Linked DNA regions of Elephas maximus indicus. The protein of the gene in region 1 purifies or fractionates together with the protein of each later gene. This does not show direct contact. Links are inferred from orthologs where the notes say so. Each region holds a gene or a part of one and is shown in the gene's direction. Other genes may lie near its edges.

What was found. Proteins that work in one complex are often made in the same cells at the same time.
Region 2: the proteins of PRKACA (region 1) and CDK5RAP2 purify together in Homo sapiens (affinity purification with mass spectrometry; 6 studies listed by BioGRID and IntAct, with this or other methods). This does not show direct contact. The link is inferred for Elephas maximus indicus from reciprocal best matches to the Homo sapiens genes PRKACA and CDK5RAP2.

What each region holds. Positions count from the first base shown.
Region 1 is NC_064821.1:32,762,637-32,769,534, reverse strand, and holds the start of PRKACA (cAMP-dependent protein kinase catalytic subunit alpha), read left to right. Parts: upstream 1-3,894; 5' UTR 3,895-3,960; coding exon 3,961-4,006; intron 4,007-6,898. Other genes in the region: histone chaperone ASF1B, read left to right, coding at 299-475, 816-1,022.
Region 2 is NC_064827.1:70,482,780-70,490,552, reverse strand, and holds the start of CDK5RAP2 (CDK5 regulatory subunit-associated protein 2), read left to right. Parts: upstream 1-4,761; 5' UTR 4,762-4,951; coding exon 4,952-5,007; intron 5,008-5,307; exon of another isoform or gene 5,308-7,773. UniProt on the Homo sapiens protein: Potential regulator of CDK5 activity via its interaction with CDK5R1. Negative regulator of centriole disengagement (licensing) which maintains centriole engagement and cohesion. Involved in regulation of mitotic spindle orientation.

The sequences.
Region 1 (6,898 bases):
GTGTGGTCTAGTCCCCACTGCCAACCTATACCACCTTTGCCTTGCTCACTGCCCACACCAAGTAGCTTCCTGATGCCTCAGGACCTCTGCTGGAAACATCTGGTAAACACCTCCCGGTACCTGTCACATTCAAAATTTTACAGTCGTTTGTGTGATTGATTCTCTGTTTGCTTCATTAGATTGTAAACTTCTGAGGACAGAGACCATACTTTTTGCTCGGTAAATCCCTGTTGCTCAGGAATCATTGTTAACATCCATCAACTATTGCATGCTAAGGCCCAGGATGTGTTTCCCCTAGGCCGATGCCCCCAATCCATCCCTCATTCCTGAGACCGATGCCGTGGGTGTGACCGTGGTCCTCATCACCTGCACCTACCATGGGCAGGAGTTCATCCGCGTGGGCTACTACGTCAACAACGAGTACCCCAACCCTGAGCTGCGGGAGAACCCACCACTGAAGCCAGACTTTTCTCAGGTAGGGGCTGTCTCTGCACTTTCCTGCTTCAACCAGGTGGCCCCTTCACACTGGGGGAGTTGAGTCATTAGAATTGGGAGCCCGGGTTTTCAGTCATGCTCGATTCTTGCAGAGCCAGGCTAGGAAAGAAAGGGTCTTTGTTTCCAGAGACATGCCTCGGAGCTGAGAGTAGGTAGTGCTAAGCGGTAGCACAGGGCCTTCCCCTGAAGTTCCGTATATGGTTGGTGAACTAAGCAGGGCCTGTTCTTCCTGGGCTTGGGGTGGCAGCTGGGGTTGCCCTGGCTCTGGGGGAGTAACAGGGGGCACGTGACAAGACTTGATGCTCCTTTTCCTGCCCCAGCTCCAGCGGAACATCTTGGCTTCCAACCCCCGGGTGACCCGCTTTCACATCAACTGGGACAACAACACAGACAGGTTGGAGGCCATCGACAACCAGGACCTTTCACTGAGCAGCGGCCTCCCCCTCAGCTGCACTCCTGTCAAGGGCCTGGGCCTTCCTGGCTGCATCCCTGGCCTGCTCCCTGAGAATTCCATGGACTGCATCTAACTTTGGGAGCTCAGGCCCTGGCTGGGCTCAGCCAGGACCCAGACCAGTTTCCTGGCACACCTGGAGGAGGCACCTGGGCCTCCTGGAGAGTCATGTGGGACATCTGGAGAACTTTGGGGCTGTCACCTACATCGAATCAGACTGGGCCCCATGGAAAGAACAGGCCCTGGGTCTTTCCCAGCCCTGGCCCAGAAGGATCATCTCACATCTACTCCACAGGCCTGTAAGAAGGAGGTACTTAGTTCTTCATTCTTTCTGACTATCCCCTTTCACTGTTCCACACACACTATAAATTCACCTGGAGGCCATTGTGCTCCCTTGAGTACCACTGACCCAAAGCTGCTTCCCACAGACCTCCTGGGCCTGCCTGAGGCTTTCTTGGTCAGTGCCTGGCGAGGCTCCAGCCCTTTTGGATCAAAGGCTCTGCCATTCCTTCCCCTTCCCAAACATCTGAACAGAGCCCCCAGCTTTCTGGAGTCACAGGCAAGGAATCCTGGTTCGGATGTGGACTCAGATACAATGTCTGTCCTCCCCAGATTTTTGGTTCTTCCCAACCCAGCAGCCTCTAGAAAACGCAGCTCCTAAAGGTGTGACCAGCAGGTGCCTCTCTTCTCAGTCACAGCCACCTTCCTGTTACCTCTTAACTGGACCTGGCATTCTCTAGAGACTTCAGTGGTGGGGAGGTCGCATGTTGGAAGGGTCTGCTGTGCTCTGTTTTGGCGTTGGCATCAAGCCCCTCTACCTCTGCCAGCCTTGACCTGTCCTCTGCCAAGACTGCACACACTCATGGGCCACAGGTGAGTGTGGGCAAGGGAAGCTGTCAGGATCCTGAAAATCTTCCCTCCCCGGAATGCTCTCCACCTCTGCCCTATCCCCTCGCTGCTACATGGATGCTGTTGTGATTGCAGTTTGTATATTAAAGGGTTTTTATATTAAAAATGTTTGGTTGCGCTAAAAATAAAAAGCACTTCATTGAGGCTGTTTCTGCTTCTGTCTCAGGCGAGCAGGGACAGCTCCATCCATCCTATCCTCCTAATGGTGGGGTTGGCCTCTTCCTCCACTCAGTGAGTTGGGTGTCCCTTGCCCCCTTGCTTGACTTCTTACTCCAGTTCTAGCTGGTTGTATAGTTGTATTCCAGACTAAGTTTTGGGGAGAGTGTCAAATCTGGAGATAGAGATGAACAGTGATTTCAGACTTTGACCCTGGCCCACAAGAAGAAATTAACTTTTACATTGTGATCCAAGTATATACACAAAGCCACACTTGATTAAATCCAACTTAACCTTACTATGTAACTCCACAGCCTGCACTAGTATTTGGCTGGCCAGCCTTTTTCCCGTATTTCAGAGAAGCCCAAACTCTCCCTCCCTGGGGCTGGTGGTCAGCCTGAGAGGAGACGTGCAGACAACTGTGTGCAGTTAGCCCAAGTCCATAAGCAGAGCAATGAGTCAGCTTGTGGACTTGAGACTGGACTAGTCCCTCCAAAGTAGGGGAGCTGGCTGGTCCAGCCCCCAGCCTCTCTTGGCACCTCATGTGGGGGCCTTCCTCCACTTCAGTGGTTCTCAACTCAATTTCTGGAGACTTTGGCTGTAAGCAGTGGGGGCAGGAGGGAGGAAGTATGTGCTTCTGGTACCTCGTGGGTAGAAGCCAGACAGCCCCCCGCCCCCACACCAAGCATCCAGCCCCAAATGTCAGTCGGGTAGCATTGGTAAACCCAGCTCTACTGTCATCCTCAGGCTGTGATATATTAAAAGGGCACCCTAAAGAAGGACATCTTGCCCCTTCTATCCTCCGGGAGGGTAGGTTCCCTTTGCATTCTCCAGACAAAAGGAATGCAGAGTGGTGATTACCAGCAGGGAATCTGAATCCAGGAGGCCTGGCTGTGCCCCCGATTCCTTGGCTGTACAATGGGGATAATAGTGCCTACATGATAGGAATGTTGTGCGAAGTAATAAGGTGAACCAGTGCCAACTCTCTGCTGGTACGAGCCCAGGGTGGGCGCCCAGCAAAGGGTGGACACTGCGTGCCCCTCTCAGCCGCCCCCTTGCTCCCGGAGCCCAGCATCCTTCTGATGCTTGGGCTGTGGCTGGAGGCGACCCCGGGCGGCCTGGCCGCTGCTGCCCAACACCAGCCCTTATGAATGACGGTGGCCGGCGGCCCGGCGACCTCTGACCCTCGGCGCCGGCCGCGCCCCTCCCCCCGGGTAGGTGGACAGCGGCTGCGCCGGCGGCCCGCGGCGCCAAACTTGGCTGGCCGGCGCCCGCTGCCGCACTGGGCAGGGGCGGGGGACTGCGGCGCGCACGGGGCCGTCCGGTGCCTCCGGGCCGCCTCGTGGGCTTCCGAGCGCGGTGCGGCCTCCGACCAAGCTTGGCCGCCCCGCCTGCCGCTCGGGCCTGGACAGCGGACTGAGCCTCCGCCCCGCCCTCTCACCCCGGGATTGACACTTGAGGTTCTGCAGGAGGCCTGCCGGACCGCTCGCCTCCGCCAATCGGCGCCCGCCCTGGGCGGGCCCCGGGCCCTGTCGCGCGCCTCAGCCAATTAGGCTCGTCTGCCCGCCCAGCTAGGGCCTCGCGACCGCGCGACTGGCGGAGCATCCTCGGAGCGCGTCAGGGGGTCGAGAGCCTATGGCGGCGCGGAAGGGTCGTGGCGGGCCAATAGACAGCGGCGCGGCGCCGTCAGTCAGGGTGGCGCTGGCCAATGGGCGGTGGGCTGCGGGGGCGTCACGGACAGCAGCAGCGGACTTGGGCTGAGGTTCCCGGGCGGGCGGGCGCGGAGGGACGCGGGAAGCAGGGGCTGGGCGGGGGTCGCGGCGCCGCAGCCAGCGCAGCCAGCCCAAGGGGCCGCCGCCGCCGCCGCCCAGCGCGCTCCGGGGCCGCCGGCCGCCGCCAGCACCCCCCGCGCCGCAGCTCCGGGACTGGCCCGGGCCGCCGCCGCCGCGATGGGCAACGCCGCCGCCGCCAAGAAGGGCAGCGAGCAGGAGAGCGGTGAGTGCCCGGGCCGTGACCCCGATCGCGGCCCCGCTCTGCCAGCCCCCTCCTTGTCCATCACCGCGTGGCCCCTCCCCCACGCACCCCCCCCATTCTTCGCTCCTTCTCCCCAGCGCCCCTGCCTGTCCAAGGCTGGGGCCCGAAGGCCCGCAGGAGACCTCCCATAGGGGCACCCCTGCCAAAGGCCGCCCCCGACTGCAAAGGCAGTGCCCCCCCACCCAGCTGTCACTGCCAACCATGGCACGTATGACCGCTGGGGCCCCACATGGAGCCCTGTCACCACCCCCTCTCTTCCTGGCCCATCTCCCCAAATTCTAATCCCCCCACTTTCTCACTCACCACTCACAGAGATGGGACGCACTGCTAGACCCCGACTCAGAGTTGGCAGTCTGGGAGTGCTGTGGGGTCTGCTTCCACCCCAGAGGGACCTTGGCCACTTGGTGACCACACCCCTCCCCCCCTCCAGCCCCCGCCATCTTTCTCCTGCCCTTTCCCTTTTCACCTTATCCCAGCCCCCTGCCATCCTTGAGCATTTCCCCTGAAGCCACCTCCAGCATTGTTTTTCTCTTCTGTGTCACTTGGCATGGGGGACAGGATCTTTCTGGGTCCCTCTGCCCCTCTCTTGTTCTGTCACTCTCTGCCACTCTGCTCCCTCCTCCAAGTAAGCGCCTGCCCCTGGCTGGGAGAGCAGGCTGTTTATGAAGCTAGGGAACTGCTTCAGTGCTTCCAAAGACAAATTTGAGCCAGTCTTCCTGGGATTCATTGCATCCTCTTTTGCAGGGGGTGGGGTGGGAGTGGGGGCAGCTGCAGAGCCCCTTCCGCTTTCCTGCTGGGCAGCCTAGCTCCAGGCTCTTGGAGGGGGCCCCTCAATAAATGGTTGTTTCACAACTAAGGCTCCGTCATTCACCAGGTCCCCTGGGCTGCTTCACCCGCTCCTGGCGCTGGATGAAAAGTGGGGGGGCGAAGAGTGCCTGGCTTTAGCAAGGGCTCATTCGGCTTGAGCTGGGCTGGTGAGAAAGGGGATGGGGCAGTTGGGGAGAGTAGTGGGTGACATCTAGTGCCTTGTTTTGCCAACGGACAGACAGATTCTGGTCATTCCCAAGGCCCAGCCACAGGCTTGTTTCTTTCCCTCCCACCCTCACATTGTGCTGGCCTTTTCAAGCCAGAGAGAGAGATTCCACATCTGGAACTGCTTTCAGAAATGGCCTCGAGCCCCCTCCCCAGTTCCTCCAGCTCCTCAATTGTCACTCAGGCCTAAAGCTAGACCCCACCTGAGAGTCCCTTCCAGTTACCCAGAAATAGAGCTGAGAAGGGAGCTCGTGTCCAACTACGCTGTCCCTAGTTCCTGGTCTCAAACAACAGCGTGAGTTCCCTGAATGCCCCCTCCCAGAAAGACCTGGGCCTGCAAACCAGGGAACTTTATTCCTACAAATAGCAGAACTCAGAGGAACCAGGCGTCCACGGGGAGGCCTGACATGTCACCGATGGGCGGGGGACAGGGAGGCAAGTGCCTGTAGTTGAGCGCTTGATGACAGAGGAGCAGGTGGGTAGTGTCCAAAAAAGGTCTGGGCCTGAGCATGGAGGGGACTGGGAAGAGGGGGAGGGGCCAGCTCTCAGCAGGTGAGGCTGCTGGGAGGTGGCAGGTGGAGGCAGGCAGCTATATATTGCAGTGGCTCAGTTGAAAGTTGGGAAGATGACATAGTCCCGGAAAACCTTCAGAGTGTACCAAGCACGTGCGGCGGGGAGGTGGGAAGCCACAAGGGGAAAAGGATCCCCAAAAGGCTCCGGAAGGAACTGCTAATTCTCTCAGAGCACAGACCAAAAGACACCCAGGAATGGACTGTCACAAGGAAATAGAGCCACTGTGTATTGGGCATCTAGTGTGTGCCAGGTTAAACAGCCTCCATCGATCTGCTCAGGTGATACTCATAATGGGCTATTAGCCGAATTTTCCAAATGGACTTGCTCAGTTTGACGTAGGTGACGTCACAGGGGCAGGATTCACATCCAGATCCGCCTGGATCCCATAAGTGCACAACTCAGACATTCTCAACTCGCCTCCCTGATTTTTGCTTTAGTCACTTAAACTTTCTTAATTTAAAATAATAAAAACAACTCACTTTTCTTCAGACGTAAACTTTGACCCCATCTTGAGCAGTAATGTAAATGAAGTCATGGCATTGCTGGGCCAGATATATTTTCCCTGACACAAATTAAAATACATATGTAATTAGAAAAATGAAACATCGCGTACTCCACATTCAGCCAGTGGGACCAGTGTCACACTTTGGGAAACAGTCTAAGCTGTACTTCCTCCCCGAGCCTTGCAGGGGCTTCTAGAGAAGGAGATAGGATGGGGAAAGAGGCCCCTCTTTGCTTGGAAGCTCTGAAACTGAGAGGATGGAGTTACACTAAATTTGTCCTCTTCTAACCAGGGCGGGGCAGGGGCAGTAGCCAGGCAAGCCTGCAGGGGGCACCTGAATTTCATCTGCCACACGCCAGCCCGACTGTAAGGAAAATGCCCAAGCCTCACTAGGTACCAGTTAAGTATCCTGCAGCCCCCTACACCCTCATCTCCATGCCAGGGCAGGACAGAACAAGGTCTGCCTCTCCGGAGATCCAGAATGAGCCATGGGGTGGGGGTGGGGAATCTGCACCCAAAGATGCTAAACCATTGGCAGGGGCCAGGAGGGCAGAGAAAAATGACCGAAGTCTCAGGCTCTGGCCAGGCTGGAGGAATTGAGATAGGGCAGCAACCTCTGGGCTGGTGCTGGCAGAGGACACCCCTGGGAGTTGGCCACAGGGGAAGGAGCAGAGCTAGCGAGAAGCCCCCCAGATACTCCCCAAGCCTCCGAGAGAAACCAGTACAGGCACTGAAAGTGAAAAAAA
Region 2 (7,773 bases), on another chromosome or scaffold:
ATGCCAGCATTGTGGCTGGGTGGCTGTCGTCAAGGAGATGGCTCCAGATAGCACAAACAGCTGGTGTTAGTGACGTTGCCTCAAGGAGATGGCTCCAGATAGCACAAACAGCTGGTGTTAGTGACGTTGCCTCCAGGCTTGGCAGAAAGAAAGTCCATGGTGAGACAGAGATGGGGCAAAGGCCTCTGCCCTGACCCTGAAACTACTACAGTAGCAGAAAAACAACTTTCCACATAGCATATCCTTTGTCCAAATGGTACTATTTTCAGTTTCCGGGTTCACCAATGGGCTTAGCACATAATCCAGGGAAATGGACTAATTGTAATAAGAACTCCTCACAAGGTTTTTCTCCTTTATACTTTCATTTTTTTTGTGGGTTAGTTTCCAAAGTATCTAATTAGATAATGCATCCGTTTGAGCTCAGCATTGCCTTCCTCATTTTATGCATGGGAAAACCAAGGTCTAGCAGAGGGAAGGGATCCCAAGTCATGGGACAATCTGGAGGAGTTTTCAGAGTCAGAGATCAGGTTCAGACTTCTAGCCTTGCAATCATACTGCCTACACTAAGATTAGTCTCTTAGCCAGTTTGAAGCAGTTGCTCAAGTAGTCTGGTGAGCACCATCACTGAAATATTGTTGTCTGGATGTACACCTCACCTTTTAATACTGAATTCTAAAGTGGAGAAAAGCAAATAGGGAAGACAGGCTACCTGAAACAATTAGTGTTAGAGAGACCTTGGCTCAAATCTCAACTCTGCCACATACCCGTAGTGGGAATGAAGCCTCCGCCAAGACTTTCCCCTGCTCCCCCAGCTCTGCCGCGGTTCCCCGCATCCCTTGCAGCTTCTACTGTGGTTTGGCACGCTGCGGCCTTAGCCACAGTTTGAGTTTGGTGCCAGAATCCTGTGCATGCATGAACCAAGGTTTTGGCACGTGCACAGGACCTGAAGAGCTGTGTCCTCAATCTGTCCTTGCACCTGAACATCACTGATGTGATTCAACATCCCCACCTCCAAATAGGGATGTGGGAGGGCTAAGGGCAGAGAGTTCCAGGCACCAACCCCAACCCCCAGACTCCATTGGAAATAGAAAACTCCCCAACCCCCTCAGACAGTGAACACGTGGCCTTATGATCAATAGACCCTGCATTGCTCCTTGTCTGTGCAGACAATAAATCTCCACCTTCAGTTTCCCTTGCAACTGGTGGTGTGGCATCTGTCTTATTTCGTTTGGCTAATAGGACAGGACAAGAACCCTCATTTTGTTACAGGAGCAAGTTATTTTTACCTCTTTGAGCCCCAGTCTTCTCATCTGTAGGTACAGTGGGGAGAATAGTAGTACCTACTCTGGAGCTTTGTTGTGAGGTTAAATGAGGTGGTACATGTGGTATGTCTGGCGTAAGTGACACATAGATGCTCAAAATGCGTGAGTTCTCTTCCTTATTTCCTTTCTCAAAAGCTTTCATCTGCTAAGTGAAAAGCTAGTTCCTTCATTTGGGAACTGATGATTATTATTCTCAGCCTCTCTCATCAGAATAGAGTTGGTTCATATAGCTGCTGCCAAGTAGGCCCCTACCTCACGATGACTCTGTGCACAAAGGAATAAAACACTGCCTGGTCCTGTGCCATTCTCATGATTGACTGCAGATCAAAGAAAGCATTGTGATCCATAGGGTGTTTTTTTAAAATTTTATTTACCTTATTTATTTTTTTAAATAATATTTCATTGTGGTTTTAGTGGTGATCCATAGGTTTTTAAAAAATATTTTATTTACTTTATTTCTTTTCCTTTTTTTTTGTTGTACTTTAGATGAAGGTTTACAGAACAAACTAGTTTCTCATCAAACACTACCTTGTTGTATGACATTGGTTAACAACCCCACGACATGTCAACACTCTCCCTTCTCAACCCTGGGTTCCTTATTACCAGCTTTCCTGTTCTCTCCTGCCTTCCAGTCCATGCTCCAGTGCTGGCACGCCCTTTTAGTCTTGTTTTGTTCCAGGAGCCTGTTCAATCTTTGGATGAAGGGTGAACCTCAGGAGTGACCTCATTCCTGAGCTGAAAGGGTGTGCGGGGACCATACTCTCAGGGTTTCTCCAGTCTGTCAGGCCAGCAAGTCTGGTCTTTCTTTTTGAGTTAGAATTTTGTTCTACATTTTTCTCCAGCTCTGTCCAGGACTCTCTATTGTGATCCCTGGCAGAGCAGTCAGTGGTGATAGCTGGGCACCATCTAGTTGTACTGGACTCAGTCTGGTGGAGGCTGTGTTAGATGTGACCCATTAGTCCTTTGGACTAATCTTTCCCTTGTGTTTTTAGTTTTCTTCATTCTTCCCTGCTCCCGAAGGGGTGAGATCAGTGGAGTATGGCCACTCAAAGGCTTTTAAAAAGTAGAATGTAGAACATTTTCTTTATAAACTATGTTATGCCAGTTGAGCTAGATGTTCCCTCAGGCCATGGTCCCCACAGTGCTTGGCCCAGCAATTCGGTCCCTCAGGGAGTTTGGGTGTGTCTATGGAGCTTCCAAGACCTTGCCTTGGACAGGTTGTGCTGGCTTCCCCAGTATTGTGTACTATCTTACCCTTCACCAAAGTTACTACTTATCTGTTGTCTATTTTTTAAAAACATTTTATTTATTAAAAAAAAAAATTATATTGCAATTTCACTGGTGATTCACTGGTTCATTTTAAAAGTAGATCTCCAGGCCTTTCTTTCTAGTCCATCTTAGCCTGGATGTTCCACTAAAACCTGTTTAGCATCATAGCAATACACAAAACCTCCACTGACAGAGAAGTGGTGGCTCCACACGAGCTGTACTGTACTGGCTGGGAATGGAACCTGGGTCTCCCATATGGAAGGTGAGAATTCTACCACGGAACCACCACTGGCCCCTAGTCTTGTGTTAAAAAAAACAAAACCCATTGCTGTGGAGTAGACTCCAACTCATAGTGACCCTATAGGACAGAGTAGAACTGCCCCATAGGGTTTCCAAGGAGCGCCTGGTGAATTCAAACTACCGATCTTTCGGTTAGCAGCCCAGCTCTTAAACATGGCACCAACAGGCTTTGTGTTAATAGCTCTGAAATAAACACAGAAAAATAACCTCTAGAGCTGTGAGGTCCTGAGAGGCCCATCCAGTCCAACCTTCTCATTTTAAAGATGTTGGAAACTGAGGCCACAAGAGAAGTGGTCTGCCAAAGATCACAGAGAGTCCATAGCAGAGCCAGGATAGGAACCCTGACACCCCAGCTTCCCTGCTTTTGGAATACTCATTTCATCCATTGAAATTAACACTGGAAAGGAGTGTCAGTTCCAGGGCTTCAAGGAATGCCCCTTCTCTGGGGCAGGGCATAAGTGCTGTGCCATCTAGTTCCTGCCCAACCGTTTTTTGTTTTCTTATTGCTGATCATGGTTGAAGGCCTGGGAAAGATCAGGTGCAGAACTGTGGGCCTTGTTGTCCTCAACAAGAGACAGAGAGGGAGGCAGGAGGAAGGAGAGGAGGGAGAAGAGAGGAGAGAGAAAACAGAGAAAATGAATGAATGTGGGATTACCACTGACTGACCTCCAAAAGATACTCAGGTCATATGAAAATCTTGAAGGATAGGTGTTAGTCCCATTTTCCATATTTATTGACTCTTCATCCACTTAACATATATTTAAAAACCCCTACTAGGTGGCAGGCACAATACTAGGTGATGGGGATATAGCAGTGAACAATTCAGAATACAGTTCCTGCCCTCATGCAGCTTCCAGTTTAGTGGAAGAGGAAGACATTAAAAACACACATAGCAAGTGCTACAAAGGAAGAATATGGGTTTCTAAGAACATCCAAGAGAGGGACCTGATTTTGATTACAGGATCAGGGAAGGCCTCTTTTAGAAAGTCACACTTAAATGCAAGAATGAGGAAACTGGGGCCAAGAGGGGACTTGTTCATGGTTGCAGGAAAAGTCACCGTCCATCCACGCACCTATCTTTCCAAATGGTTTTCATCCAGGACTCTTTTAACAGCCTGCAGAAGAAGGTAGCAGCACTGAGACGGGAATTTCGCTGGACAACCATTACCGAAATTACCTAGGTGTTTAGTGGTTATTATGTACTTTAGGAGAGGCAGCAAGGGATTATGGAGAGCCCTGATTTAGTTGGTAGGAGCTGAGGATCTGGTTCCAACTGACAAACTTACTGTGTATGACTTTGGGTAAGTCATTTCCTCTCTCTGGGCCTCAGTCAACCGATCTTAGACATGTCTGAGCCCTAAAGGCAACAAATGATCGCTAGGTAAAGGATTGGAGTGCGAGTGTAGCTAACCATTTGGCTCACAGGGATGAGTTTATTTGCTTCAAACTAAGCTTGCAAATTACTGTTTGAGTTGGAATTCCACATGTAGGATTTTCTAACACGAGGCAGTACCCGATTATTTGAGTTTCAACTCAAGGCAGAAGCCGTTTGGATGCACACACCTCAAGCTTCGGGTACCAGGTCCAGAACCCTGTGGGTTAGTAGGGCCCTGTATTCGCATATCCCGCTTAAATTAACGGATCAGGGGCAGCTTCGAGCCCTAAATAAAGATGGCGCCTGCGCTGGCATAGATCTGATTGCCCTCATAAAAAATGGCAGCTGGCCTCTCTCTGCCTAGCCTTACTCGCCCAAACGGGGGGGGGGGCTCTGCCCTTAGTTAAGATGGCGCCTGCTTGCGCGTCTCTGCCCGGCTTCTGGCTCCGGACGGCTGGCTTCACTGTGCACGCCCTGGTGACTCCGCCTCGTTTCCGTAGGAAGAAGAGCCGGGAATGATGGCGGCGGCTGCGGTTTGAATTCCGCGGCGCCGCCAGAATCCGAACAAGAGCTGGGTCGGAGAGGGCGGGGACCTCGGGGACTCGGGCGGGTCGCGCGACAACGAGGGGGGACCAGTGAAGCCGCCACTAGAGACATCAACGCCACCACCGTCTCTGTGTCCGTGATGGACTCGGCGTTGGAGGAGGACGTCACTCTCCCCGGGACTCTCAGCGGCTGCAGGTGCGGCCCGGGCGCTGGTGGTTCGCGGTAACTGGGCTGGTTTTCCAACTGATGGGGGTTTGCTCTAACCCGGCCTTGGGGGTTTGCTCTTGGGGTGTTTGAGCATCTCCGGATAGAAGCCGTGTGTTGTTTGGGTTCCTTAGGGTATCTCTGTGAGGGGCCCACCAGCTGATACTGTGTGTGAGGGTCCCGACCACAGCTACCTCTAGTATTTCAGAGTCTTAATTTGAGGAGGCTGTGAGGCACCAGTAAGGGGTTTTCTGAAAGAGCAGGAGGAGGGGGCCGTTAGTAGGGGCTGGTTGGGGGATGTGGCGCCCTCAGCAGGGACCTTGAAGGGACTTGATGGTTCATTCTGGTGTGGGGGTTTGCTTTCATTATGGGGAGTGTAATCGATACGTCCAGTCTTTGTGCATAGGGCGTTATAGTGGCCACCCAAGATTGAGGCAGTGGAGTGCAGTGGTTGAGAGACTGAACTGGAGTTGGGCAGATTTGGATTCAAATCCAGCGCAAATCCAAACTGACTAGCGGTGTAACCTTGGTAAAGTGCCAGTAATCTGCTTTCCCATCTGTAAAATGGGGATAGTAGTAATATCCACCTAACAGGATTGCTGTGAGGATTAAAAGAGATGATGCCTGCCCTGCAGTTTGCTTGACAAGTCTAGTGCCTGGCACATAATTAGTGCTTAAAAAGTGATCGTGTGGTGCCGTTATTATCGTTAATAATAACACAACTTGGGGAATAATGGCCAAGACTGGCCTCCCAATGGACCTGGCCCAAGAGGCTTTTGGAGTCCACGTTGTTTGTTGCTGGAGCCATGGGTCTCACCTTCTGGTAGGAAGGCCTGACAGCTCTGAACTGCATCAGGTCTCAGGCTCCTGATTGGAGAATGGGTAGAAGGAAATGGACGAGAACCTGAGTAAGAACCTTCAGTGTTTCTTCAGCTCTGCAAGGAACAGGCTGCTGCTTTTAGTTAGCAGGTCTTAATTGAAAGGTGACCATGTAATTTATTGTGCAAACCAGGATGCTTCTAAGGGCACTGTTGATATTTATGCTGGGACAGCAGGCGTGAACAGGTCCTATCTTGGGCAAACCTGGAAAAGTGGTTATGCTGTTTGTTGAGAGCCTACTGTATATCAGGCACAGAGCAAGGCCCTTTGCAGCTGCAACCTGATTTCATCCTTTTGGTAGTTTTTTATTCTCTATCTTACTGTAACTACCCCAACATATTGGGGTATTGCCTGTCACCTGGATTGTTGAGGCCTCCTTCACACCTCCAATAGTCCTTTATATTATAGCCTAAAAACTCTTAAAAATGTAAATCTGCTTTTGACAGTCTGCTGCTTTATGCTTGTTAGTCCTTCTCATTGCCCTTAAGGTAAAGTCCATTATCACTCTCTCAGACAACTCTTCTCAAGACGGTGCTGCTGGTCAAGTACTTTGGCTTTGGGACCCAAAGTAGTCTGGATTTCAATCCTAGCTCTGCCACTTAACAGCCCTGGGACCTTGGGCAGGGCATTTGCACTCTGTGAGCCTCAGTTTTCATCATCTGTAAGATGGGCTGGTATAAATCCCAGGGTTGGTATAACGATTAAAATGAGTATGAAGGGGCCTAGCCCAGTGTGCGACCCAGATCAGCAAATGTCCTCGCCTCCCTTCTCTCCTTGCCGTTGCCCGAAACACTCCTGGGTCTCTTACTAATCTCTTACTTCCCTGCTTCAGACCCCCACTGACTACTCTCTGCCCTGAGGGTATAGTTTTTTAATACAGCTTCCAAGGGTTTCATAATCTGGCCCTGTCTTCCTCTCTAGCCTCCTCTACCCTTACTCTCCCTACCCTGACTTCTCCCCACACTGCCAAACTCTTGGTTACGAATGATCTTGCCTTTTCCTTTCTTGCTGCTAGGCCTGTGTGCTTGCTGATCCTGCTGCCTGGATTGTCCTTCCTTCTTCCTTTTGCCTTATCAATGCCTGTTTTTTTTCAGGTCTCAGTTTAGATGTCGTTGCCAGGAAGACTTCATTGACATTTCCCCATCCCCACCTGGGCCTTCTACTCTTTTAGGCAGTCCCACCCATAATTTACCCTATCCCAGGCCTTATTTACTTCACGGAATTTTACTGACCAGCACTATGCACTGGAAACATATGTGAGCTATATATGTAACTTAAAGTTTTCTGGTGGCCACATTAAAAAAGAAACAAGTAACATTAATTTTAATATATTTTATTTAACCCAACATGTACATATATTATCATTCTAACTTGAAATCAGTAGAAAAAATTATTAATGAGATGTTACATTCTGTCTTACTAAGTCTTTGAAATCCAGTGTGTATTTTACCCTTATAGTACTTTGCAGTTTGGACTAACCACTTCTCAAGTGCTCATTGGCCACATATTGCTGGTGGCTCCTGTACTGGGCAGCACAGTTATCGACTGTTAAATGGCCCGTCTCCTATATTATCCTGTGACCTGTTTGAGAATAGGGACTGCATTTTATATAAACCATGGCGGTGTAGTGGTTAAGTGCTACAGCTGCAAACCAAAGGGTTGGCAGTTCGAATCCGCCAGGCACTCCTTGGAAACTCTATGGGGCAGTTCTACTCTGTCCTATACGGTTGCTATGAGTTGGAATCGACTCGACGGCACTGGTTTTTTTTTTTTTAATACATGTAATAGGGGTTCAGTAACTCCTTGTTGAATCACCGAATAAACAATGCTCCTTTGAGGTGACAGTGTAATCCCCCTTTTGCAGTTGAGGACACTGAG